Danio rerio: one gene and its partner. The protein of the gene in region 2 purifies or fractionates together with the protein of the main gene of each other region. This does not show direct contact. Links are inferred from orthologs where the notes say so. Each region holds a gene or a part of one and is shown on either strand. Other genes may lie near its edges.

Region 1 (4,947 bases), on a different chromosome or scaffold from region 2:
GCCGGTGTCCTGCAAAGTTTAGTTCCAACCCCAATCAGACACTGGCCTAGCTAATCAAGCTCTTACTAGGCAGTCTAAAAACATCCTTGCAGGTGTGTTGAAGCAAGTTGGAGCTAAAATATGCAGGACACCAGCGCTCCAGGACAGAGTTTGGACACCCTTGGCGTAAAGCATATGCTGGATAAGTTGGTGGCTCATTCCGCTGTGGCGACCATAGATTAATAAAGGAACTAAGCCAAAAAGAAAATGAAGGAATGAAACCTTTGCTTTCAAAAAGCGAAGTTGTTTTTTTGCTGCACCGATCAGATCACAAGAGCAACTCATTCCTGCTATTTGCAGTAGTGCTGCCTTGGCACCGCATTCAATATTAATAATAAAAGTTTTTGTAATCTTAAATGTGGTTATTTCATTGGCTTTTAAGCTGTAAAATGATGGTTATTGAGTTAAATGTAAATATGTAAAAATCAATTAATATTATTTATCACTAGATCTACAGAGGTGGTAATTTTGACCATTTGTAATTTTTGCTGTTTAATAACTTTAAGATAAAACACCTGTATCTATAATTCCATGACTTTTACTAAAATTGTGTATTTTCCTTCTAACATTGATATTTTATTAAAATGAAAAAAAAAAAAAAACACAAAAGAGTTTTTATTTCTACCTAGATAAACCATAGCATGCATTTTGATGTCTGCTACTTTTCCCTGTAATTTTGCCTAGCAACTTCATGCTAACCAAAACAACTTTCTGTTGGCAAAAACATATCTTCAAAGATATGTCTTTCAAAACAGCATGTTTAGTGCCATGAAAAACCTTCTCCCCTGCTTGTGAAAGTGAAAAAAAAAATGGATTCATTCATAAGTGGTCTAATGTTGCCTAACTGTATATATTTATAGGTTGTATTACCAAAAAGGTTGTATTTTTAGGGTAATGACTTAATTAACTATGATAACAGACAATCAAAGCTTAATTTTATAATCTCTGTAGAAGTTTTCTATGACAACATGATGTCTTGTATGAGAGCGGTGACCGCTATTGTAATTTTATTAGCTATAGAATGTTGGTAGTTCCAATCATTCGTTCCTTCATTTTCTTTTCGGCTTAGTCCTTTTATTAATCAGGGGTCGCCCCAGTGGAATGAACCACCAACTTATCCAGCACATGTTTCACGCAGTGGATGCCCTTCCAACTGCAACCCATCACTGAGAAACATCCACACACACTCATTTAGCTTACCCAATTCAACTATAGCGCATGTCTTTGGACTTTTGGGGGAAACCAGAGGACCTGGAGGAAAACCACGTGAACACATGGAGAACATGCAAACTCCACACAGATATGCCAACTGACTCAGCTGAGGCTCGAACCAGCAACATTCTGGCTGTGAGGCGATTGTACTACCCACTGCACCACCTTGACACCCTGTGGTAGTTCCAGTGTTAATGAAATAAAAATAATTATTACAAAGCAGTTTAGGGTTTCCAGCCAAGTGCATGCAAAATGTTGGGTTTCACCCTAAAATTTTTATTTCAGTGCATCCCTACACTGTAAAAAGAATCCTGGTTACTTTAAATATTTAAGCTTAATCAAATGAATCTATTTAACCTATGTTAGACTGACTGAAAACAGCTTGTGTAACTTATACAATTAAGTTAGAACATGATATTCTTGGTTTAATAAGTTTCAATGAACTAAAACATTTAGTGTCACGACTAATTGATCTTTTTTTTTTTTTTGAAGTGTAGTAATTGCAATGACATGAATGCAGCTAAATTTAGTTTCACGTCAAATGCATTTGTTTAGCCTTGATGTTTATAATAAATTCAATCACTTGGAACAGTATGAAACAGGTGCGGGGTTAAATGTTGCCTGCATTCATAAGTATAAATAACACATTACCCTCAGAGACACTCATAGTAATGGATTGCTCTTTGTGCTTTGTAGACGGTACGGTTAACAGCAGCGCCACTCCCTCCCAGTCGTCCTCTATTAATGACATCTCATCCATGTCGACGGAGCAGACGCTGGCTTCAGATACCGACAGCTCTTGCATTGACACCCTCACGGGCCCATTGGAAGAGTGACTCCAGTGACTTCCAGCTCTTCTCCCTCATGTCACATCGCTGTGTGGGCCATGCAGAGGTCTGGACTGAACCGTGGGTGCACGTTCATACAGCTTCAAGTTTACACTTCACTATTGCTTTTAAGGGACTGCTTTTTCCTCTCTTCTCATTCGTGTAGTATTAGCTTTTGAGTTGTAGGCTGATGCTCAGATTACACTCCAACAAAAAAGCATCTTATTTTCTTTTAGATTTTATAAAGGAACTCCGTTCAAATAGACAGAAGAGTGCATTAATGCGTTTACATTTCATTTTACAACAACTAACATGCCATCTTCTCCGGTGGAGTTCTTATTGCAGCAGCATATGTAATATCTGAGACTATCCCTGTCATTAATGCCCTCGCTCTCCCCCTGTGATGTAGCTTTTATTACTATTCATTTCATCACCTAAAAGAAGCACAGATATAAATTGTTGAACTTTATAGCTAGCCATCCCCTCCAGAACCAATTCCTGTTACAAGAATTGCTGCATGATATTAACAAGAACACTTATTAGACAGACAGCGCAACTACAGATTACTGAAATACGCCTAAACACACGTAGGAAACAGAACAATAGTGCCTGCCTCTGTATATAGTCACCATACACCCATTTTAAAAGAAAACCCAATGATGGATTTCAGTTGGTTAGGGTGTAGTCAAGTGTGTATATACGTACATAGATTTCGTGTAAATGTTCGGATTTTCTTTGTTCGTGCTGTGGAAACCATTTTACAGCTTTTTAATATCTACTCTAAAACAGATTGCGATGCGACTTAAAAATGATTTAAAAATACAATTGCACACAGAGGGTCAAAAATTAACATTCAGCTTTTTAAAAAAGTGCATCTAAATTCAAAATGGTACACTGTAGATGCAAAATCCAAATCGGAGTCCCGTTCCTCATCATTCCAAGAGTAATTAATCACTGCTGGCAAGTTCATGACGTATTTCATACGACTGTGTTTCATTGCATGAGCTATTGCAATCCATTGCCTTTTTTAATCTCCTCAAACTTGAAATGCCTATAAGAATGTTATATAAAGCAAATTTATATATATTTTTTTTTTACTCTTAAGAAGTCTTGTCAGTGGCTTTTTCTTTCTTTTTTCATTAAGATGCTCATATATTGACAAGCTGAAAGATTAGTCATATTCTTATAGATTACCAGGAACATTTTATTAACTTTGCAATTCAGTAGCTTTTTCCATCCAAAGATGTGCATTAAATCTATGCGCAAAACTGAATTATCGCATAAAAGACGTGCGAGTAAAGCAGCGTTTCCATCCAATGAGCAGTGGCAGTTCTAGTTTAAATGGCACCCTTGGTGAACACCCTAAATAGACCCCTTTACCCATCCCCTGAGAAATAAAGGCTGGGTCCGAAACCGTCTACTACTCTGTAGGTACCGCATTTGAATTAAAACAAACTATTCTGCCGTTAAAAAAAGTTTGTTCTATACATTATGAATGTGAGCAGTATGAATGGAACATGGATGTACTACATCCGCCATTTTGTCATGATCACCTCACCTACCCACGTGAGTTGCGTCGCTTCACTCCCATTCATATTGCATAATGGGATAGCGCAGCATGCATTGGATACACTTTATAATCTTGCTGGAATTAGTAGGTCATCCGAATACTTCTCGCATACTGTTTTTCGAATTCTATGAATTCAGATAGAGAATAACAAACTTTCGCATGCAAAAGACGCCAAATGTGAATGACCCCTAACGTCCTTGTACTGAGATTAACACCCTAAATTAATTCACTTGCATAAAGTAAATCACATCTTGAAGCTTTTAATGGGACATGGTTGGTTTTTACTGGGGCGCTATTTATTTTTTGCACCATCTCCCTGTGCCGCCCCCAGCAATATTGCCCATGTCTAAATCTGCCACTGCCAATTAGTTAAAGAGAACATTTCAGATGTTTTAGAGTGTTCAGCCTGCTTGTTTATCCATTCACACACATTTTTATGACATGATCTCTTTTACCAAAATCACATGACCTTTTTTAATGTGCATACTGGATTTTGTTCAGTAAAAGTGATTCCATTGTAGTTTATTTGCATTTTTTTTTAATTGAATAAAAACTTTATGCTACTCGGTTATGTGCAAAATTTAATGCACATTTTGGCATTTCTATTAGTTTTTTATGTTCATATGCAAATAGTTGGATGGAAACAGCTAGTGACATACTGTGGCTAATCATACCCTTTGACTTTCTCCTTTTTAGCTATGGTTTTCATGATTGAGAGCCTTTTTTTTTTTACTTCCTTTCTTCCCCATTCATTCAGTTCAAAAATAGATGACTGTATAAACTAGTGTTCTGTACCCTAAATTCATTATGCATGAGAAAACAAGCCGCCTTCATTCAGAACTTGAGGATGTTGCAGAATTGTGTCCTCTGGTTGTAAAAAAATTGATTGAGAGCCTCAGGAGGACAATATGAGTGTTGAGTTTATCTGGCTCCAAGTTATTCTAATGGACTGAAAAAAGAAAGAGACTGGAGAATGAACTTGGCATCACCATGACTTTCATGCCTTAAGCTTCTCATTACAACCATCACTTTAGCTTGGCCACGAAACAATTGATAGTAATATTATATTCAAAAATCAAGCTTTGGCTCTTTTTTCCGACAGTTTTGATTGTTCATCTGCTTTCCCAAACATCTCATTTTCCTGGTCTCCTTAAGTTTGTGAGATCTCATTTGGTGCTTCACTTTACTGTTAGCGCAGTGATAATGTATTAGAACAACGCAATAGTGCATTGTGTTCCATTTTCATTTCGGAGCCTCATGCACATTTGTTTCACTGTTGTGTTGTGACTCCTCTTATAA
Region 2 (5,958 bases):
CGTCACAGCGAGTGCTCGGCTGAACAGAGCAACTCTGAGCTGCCAGCTGGACAGGCCTGCAGGACACACACGAGCAACACACTCCAGTGCTCTCTACTACTGCACCACTACATCTCCTATCACACAGTGGGGGAAATAAGTATTGAACAAATTGTCATGTCGTTTCCTGGGAATAATATTTTTAAAGGAGCTGTTGACATGGAATTGAAGCAGATTTTAGTAATAAAAAAAAACTATACAGAAATAAATCAAACTGAATCTGAAAACTAGTTTTGTGTAATGCTGCTTTCACACCAGACGCGTCAAGCGGGAGTGATTTACATGTTAAGTCAATGCAAACGCGCGAATGGACATCCTGCGGCGCGAATGACACAAATTGCGCGAATGGCGGGGGCGAATTGAGCGTTTTGCGCGTTTGACGCGCTTAACGAGCGTTTCGCCTGAATCTTTCGATTTCGAAAATCTGAACTTCAGCGTACATTCGCGCCGCGTTAACCAATCAGAAGCTTGCTCTTGTGGGGGTGTGATTGTGACGTAGAACCTGTTGTCGGTGTTTCGAGGGAAATCCTCCAGCCTTCACCGACAACAGTTCATCAAACTGGGCTGGGCTCAGTCAGAAGCACCACTGAAAGCCTCCGTCATCTAGGTTAAGTTTCTGGAGGAGTTTGAGCTCACAGAGCTGGATGCACCTCTAAAAGGATGTAGTGGACTCAGACCCGCTGCAGCGCATGACAGAGTGTGTGTGTGGTCACGTGATGTGTGTTTTCAGAGGTATAGTTTCAATTCAATTCAGCTTTATTTGTATAGCGCTTTTACAATGTAGATTGTGTCAAAGCAGCTTCACATAAATGCTCATAGTAACTGGAACAGTGTAGTTCAGTTGTCAGTGTTTAAGTTCAGTTCAGTTCAGTTTAGCTCAGTTCAGTGTGATTTAAAATCATTACTGAGAGTTCAAACACTGAAGAGCAAATTCATCGATGCGTAGCTCTACCAATCCTGAACCATGCGAGCCAGTGGCGACAGCGGAGAGGGAAAAAAAACTTCACCTGATAGGAGAATGAAGACAAAAAACCTTGAGAGAACCAGACTCAGTTCGGCACGACCATGTATATAGTGTGGATGGAGATTTTTTCAGAAACAGTAGGTGAAACTCCAGTGTGGACGTGAATCATTTTCATACTAAAATGCCATATTAAAACTAAAACGTGTTAGTGTTAGACCTCAGTCTCCAAGAGGTAGAGGTGAGCGCAAGGGCTAAGTGCTTTAATAATGATTTAAGAGAAACATCTGCCTACCTTTCAGAACGATGGGGTCTTTTCCTTCCCTACGTAGTGACTCCAAAACCACATGCAGCGGCTGAGACGGTGTCAACCGTCCCGGGTCCACTGTGCTCTCATCATACACCACCAGCTCTTTAGAAAAAATCCCTTTAAACGAGTCCTTGCTCTGCCGGCAGGAGATCAGGTCCAGGACGGTGATTTTACCCTGCTGGAGGCGCCGGCGGCTGATCTTGTCAGAGCAGTTAATATGCATCGCACCCCTAATGTGGCTCTTATTGAACTCCAAAAACGGCCGACAATCGATAATAACGGGAACCGGACCGATCGGGTGACCTAATGGACAATGCGTCAGCTTTTTAGCCAGCTCATTAGGGTGGATGACCCGCATGCCGCCCCGGGTCAGGCTGGAGGTGAGGCTGGGTGCACTGCCGTGCACACTCCCCTGCTGGACGCCATATCCCGATCCAGAGTGTAAATTGGGGCTGCTGGCGCTGACCTGGCCGTCTTTTTCATAGGTGGTCACGGTGCAACAGCTGGCACTGCTGCATCCACACGTCAGCGAGCGTGTGGAGCCGCTGGACGAGGGCATATACGAAAGCGTGGCGGCCTGGATTTTCACCACGGTGGTGCTGCTGATTACCGTGGTCTTGCCGACGGTGGTTTCCAGGTAGCTGGTGTCCAGGCGAAGTCGGAGTTCCTGAGGTCGGATAGGCCTTGGCAGCGCCACCACAATTCTGTCGTCTAGAGGAGACGGAGGCATGGAGAGACCACAGAGGGCTGGCACAGCACGGAGAACTCAGACGTCCTGACGAGCACTGGAAAACACAACAGAGTCATCGAACAGTGAGTACGCTACACCAAAGACTAAAGAATAGGGATGTAACGGTATCAGAATTTCACGGTACGGTAATACCTCGGTATGAATGTCACGGTACGGTATTTATTGAATCATTTACAGGAAAAAACAAAACTTATGAAAATACTCCAAAAAAGTGCCAAAAGTGTCAATGACATACAAATTAGCCATCTATCTGTAAGCTTTGAAACAGGAACTTCAATTTTAATAACAAAAAATTATTAAACCATGTAAAAATAATAAAGTTTCAATTTAGTATTGTTGAAAACTCATCACATTCAACATTTAATCACACTCGCCCATCTACACAGATGAGAGCTCTGCTAGTCGGACTTCTCATCAAGCATCTCCCGCTGGATCTAATCTCACTATATTTAATTATTAAACGGGATATTTCATTCATCTTGTTGTCTTTATCTAACGACATATTCCCTGACTTTGGTCATTGGAATCTATTACTTGTTCTCAGGTAACGTGTTTTGGCTGAGCGCAAAGATAAGTTAATGATTAATGTAACCACGTACATTCTGTATATTGACTGATCGCTTGCCTTTATTTCCTATAATGTATAAACTTATTGTATGTTATACTTTTAAAATGGCCATTATCGATTATTAAAACAGATACTCAGCAAAAGAGAGGCTGTGTTTCGTATTTTCACTGAAATTGAAAGGAGGCAGTTGTTATCGGCTCCGTTTTGTTATAAATATCCTCACAGTGAAGATGACTCTCATATATGCAGCACGACGCCTCAACATGTCTGCTGTCTAAGTTGCTAATATTAAAATGAAAATAGGCAGTTCCTTAAATCATGTTTACATTTTATTGTTAATAAAGTGAAACAACGAAGCCAGGGTGATGTGAATGAAGTTATAAAGTACACTGTTCCCTTTGAAGATTTACCCGTGTCCTCGGTATAATCTGCTTTTCCATATCAAACTGAGAAGAAGAGACTGCAGCCTTGATCAAACTTGCGAAGTCTGAACTTACAAGGAGATGATGCAGGACTGAACTGTGCGTGTTAGGCTACTTAATATTCAGGAAAAGCACCAATCAGAGAGGCGAATGTCTGCAGCCCCGACTCAGTTTTCAGATGTCTCCGTTTTCCATTATCCACACTGAGACATTATCCACACATTTCGAAACGCTCCGTTTTCGGCGCTCGAGAGCTCTTTTCATCCCCGCTTCTAGCAGCACACTCCATTTCCGCATTACTGGATCTGTAGCGACAACAGACCGCAAGGGATGATGGTCAAGCAGGGGCTGATGGGTATTGTAGTTTTCGCTACCTCCCGTTCGCTTCATTCGCCTAAGCAAATTTTCTCAGAAGACCTATAGTTTTACCGAGTCATGCGACTTCGGTAATATCGAAAAAAATTAATATTGCGGTATGACGGTATTTACAATACCGTTACATCCCTACTAAAGAATACACAAGACATGTCACTCGCATAGTTTTAAATGGGGAAAAGTGTAAAAGGCAATATTGCGAATAAAGCCCCGCTTACTAGGCGATTTTTATTTTTATTTTTTTCGACTAATTCAAATTTACGTTTTAGGTTTAAGGCTGATTTATACTTCTGCGTCAAACACCGGCGTATGCTACGGCGCTGACGCATAGCCCTTCGTCGTGGCCGTCGCCATCACTGACGTGCACCTCTCAAAAAATGTAACTACATGTCGCAACGACGCGTAGCGTAAGCTCTGTGATTGGTCGGCTTGGTAGAGCTGACGAGTCTGGGCGGGACCGAGAGCCGCGCGAATGGCGCAAGCAATTGTTTACAAGTGTGGAGTCCCGTGAAGGAGCTCCGGGTGAAAAGTTTTGTTTTGTGTTTACCTCATAGTTAAAGTTGTTGCACGTCCCACCAGTTCCAAGAAAGCAGCGAAGAAACTCGACACAGAGGAACAGTTACACCTCACTGCCAACTAGCGTTTCAGAAGTGTTAATGCAGACCGACAGAGACGGCACGCAGAAGTATAAATGCACAGCCACGCGCGTTGCATGCGCCGTGAGTTACGCCGGTCACCTGACACAGAAGTATAAATCAGGCTTTACGTTTCAAATCGAGAAATCGCGATTTTTAAAAAAAAATATATTTAATACATTATAATGGCACCAATGCGCTTTGGTTCACTCTATGAAGCAGGAAGCACACCAGAACCTCTCGGCTAAACAGGTTTCTATACACACACCGGCGCGGTCCAGCCACGATTCAGGAGGCAGTTCATATTTCAGCCACGCCACAGAGCGCCATCTGATTGGTTTCATGTTAAATATCATGCAAATGTGCGCGTCTGGTGTGTGATAGTTTAAACTGTCATGTGCGCGCCGTGTCGTGGCGCTTCTGGTGTACGACCTGCTTGACTGCCTGTTAAAGCGTAAAGTCATGTAGGATTTTACTTGTTGCATTAGTCTGAGTCACGTCTGTGTGGATTGTCAAGACATTCCCTCATCAAGTCGATAAACTCGATCTCAACATGTATGAAGGACGTAAAACCCTGCCATGTGAAAAACCGCGCCGATCTTTTGGTTCGAACACGAGTAGAGGTGAGGGCCAGTAGCAGCGAAAATGAAAGTACCCGCCCCCCATGACGTCATTTAGCGGACCTAGTTGAAAACCAGACAGATCAGGCAGCATGATACAGAGAGTGGATCAAAGCGCATCAAATGATCGGTATTTAAAAGGGGAAAAAGGAAAAATAGATTAAATATATTAATTTATATTAGACACACATCTGGTGCTTGTATTTGCTCCTGCTATACGTCCATAACTTCACACATTGGGTTAAATTAGGCTTTACAGTTTCCATGTTCAGTCCTTTTCTTCCACTGTATCTTTTGAAGAAAAAGGCAGCAGCTTTACAACCTGTCATTCAATCAGAAGACAAAGCGAAAGCCGAGCTGACAGCCAATCTTTCCTAGGCTCAGCAAAACTTACCTCTAAAATACCTCTGTATTCCTGCAAGTGCAATATTTACACAACTATTTCTTACTCAAATCTTCAGCAACGCTATTTAACTCATGAATATTTTACATTTATTTACACCTTGACTGATTTTTGTATGACATGGCCATTAAAAATACAATGTTCCTTAACAGATGTTTTTTCAAGTTACTTTTAAAGAGAATGTTACTTCAGTCATGTTGTTGTAATGTTTTGAGAAGACTAGTAACACAATAAAAAAAAAAAAAAAAAATCGAAATCCTGAATCTGTCAAACTTTATAAAAAAACCTAGATTTTTTTTTTTTTGCCAAATGGCCCAGCCCTACCGCTTACTAGTCGAGTAGCCAATCATCGATCAATTTAGATCAGGGGTGTCAAATGTACAGCCTGCGGGCTTGATCAGGCCAGCAAACGGGTTTAATGCGGCCCGCGGGATAATTCTGTAAAGTACAAAAATGAGCTGCAATTTTTTTAATAAAAGAAACTGCTGTTCTGATTGTGTCCACTGGATGGTGTCAGTTTGACAGCCTTCTCAGAAGCTTTCAGTTAAGATGAACACCGTTTCTATAGTTATACTTTATTTATAGATAAAGTATGACTCTGCATATAATCACTCTATCATGCTGGAGTTTATAGCCGTTTCGCTTTATTTCAGGACGCATTAACACTGCTCTGAAGGTCTAATCGCTGTTTTAAGTTATCCAGAGCTGTATGAATGTAAAATTTTTAAATATCACAATCGTATTAAATATTACAATTGTAACAGACAGCAACACTTTTGCACAATCGATACCCAGCTGATTCAGTCGTTTCATAAGAGGACCGCGCTTCTTCTCTGTTTTCTTTGTCAACATAAAGGCAGTGAGATTATTTTCG

The links.
Region 1: the proteins of dusp10 (region 2) and mapk9 purify together in Homo sapiens (affinity purification with mass spectrometry; 3 studies listed by BioGRID and IntAct, with this or other methods). This does not show direct contact. The link is inferred for Danio rerio from reciprocal best matches to the Homo sapiens genes DUSP10 and MAPK9.

Annotation. Positions count from the first base shown.
Region 1 is NC_133196.1:35,022,895-35,027,841, reverse strand, and holds part of mapk9 (mitogen-activated protein kinase 9), read left to right. Parts: intron 1-1,947; coding exon 1,948-2,087; 3' UTR 2,088-4,947. UniProt on the Homo sapiens protein: Serine/threonine-protein kinase involved in various processes such as cell proliferation, differentiation, migration, transformation and programmed cell death.
Region 2 is NC_133195.1:55,218,295-55,224,252, forward strand, and holds part of dusp10 (dual specificity protein phosphatase 10), read right to left. Parts: intron 3,350-5,958; exon of another isoform or gene 3,040-3,349; intron 2,124-3,039; exon of another isoform or gene 2,096-2,123; 5' UTR 2,041-2,095; coding exon 1,296-2,040; exon of another isoform or gene 753-1,295; intron 1-752. UniProt on the Homo sapiens protein: Protein phosphatase involved in the inactivation of MAP kinases. Has a specificity for the MAPK11/MAPK12/MAPK13/MAPK14 subfamily. It preferably dephosphorylates p38.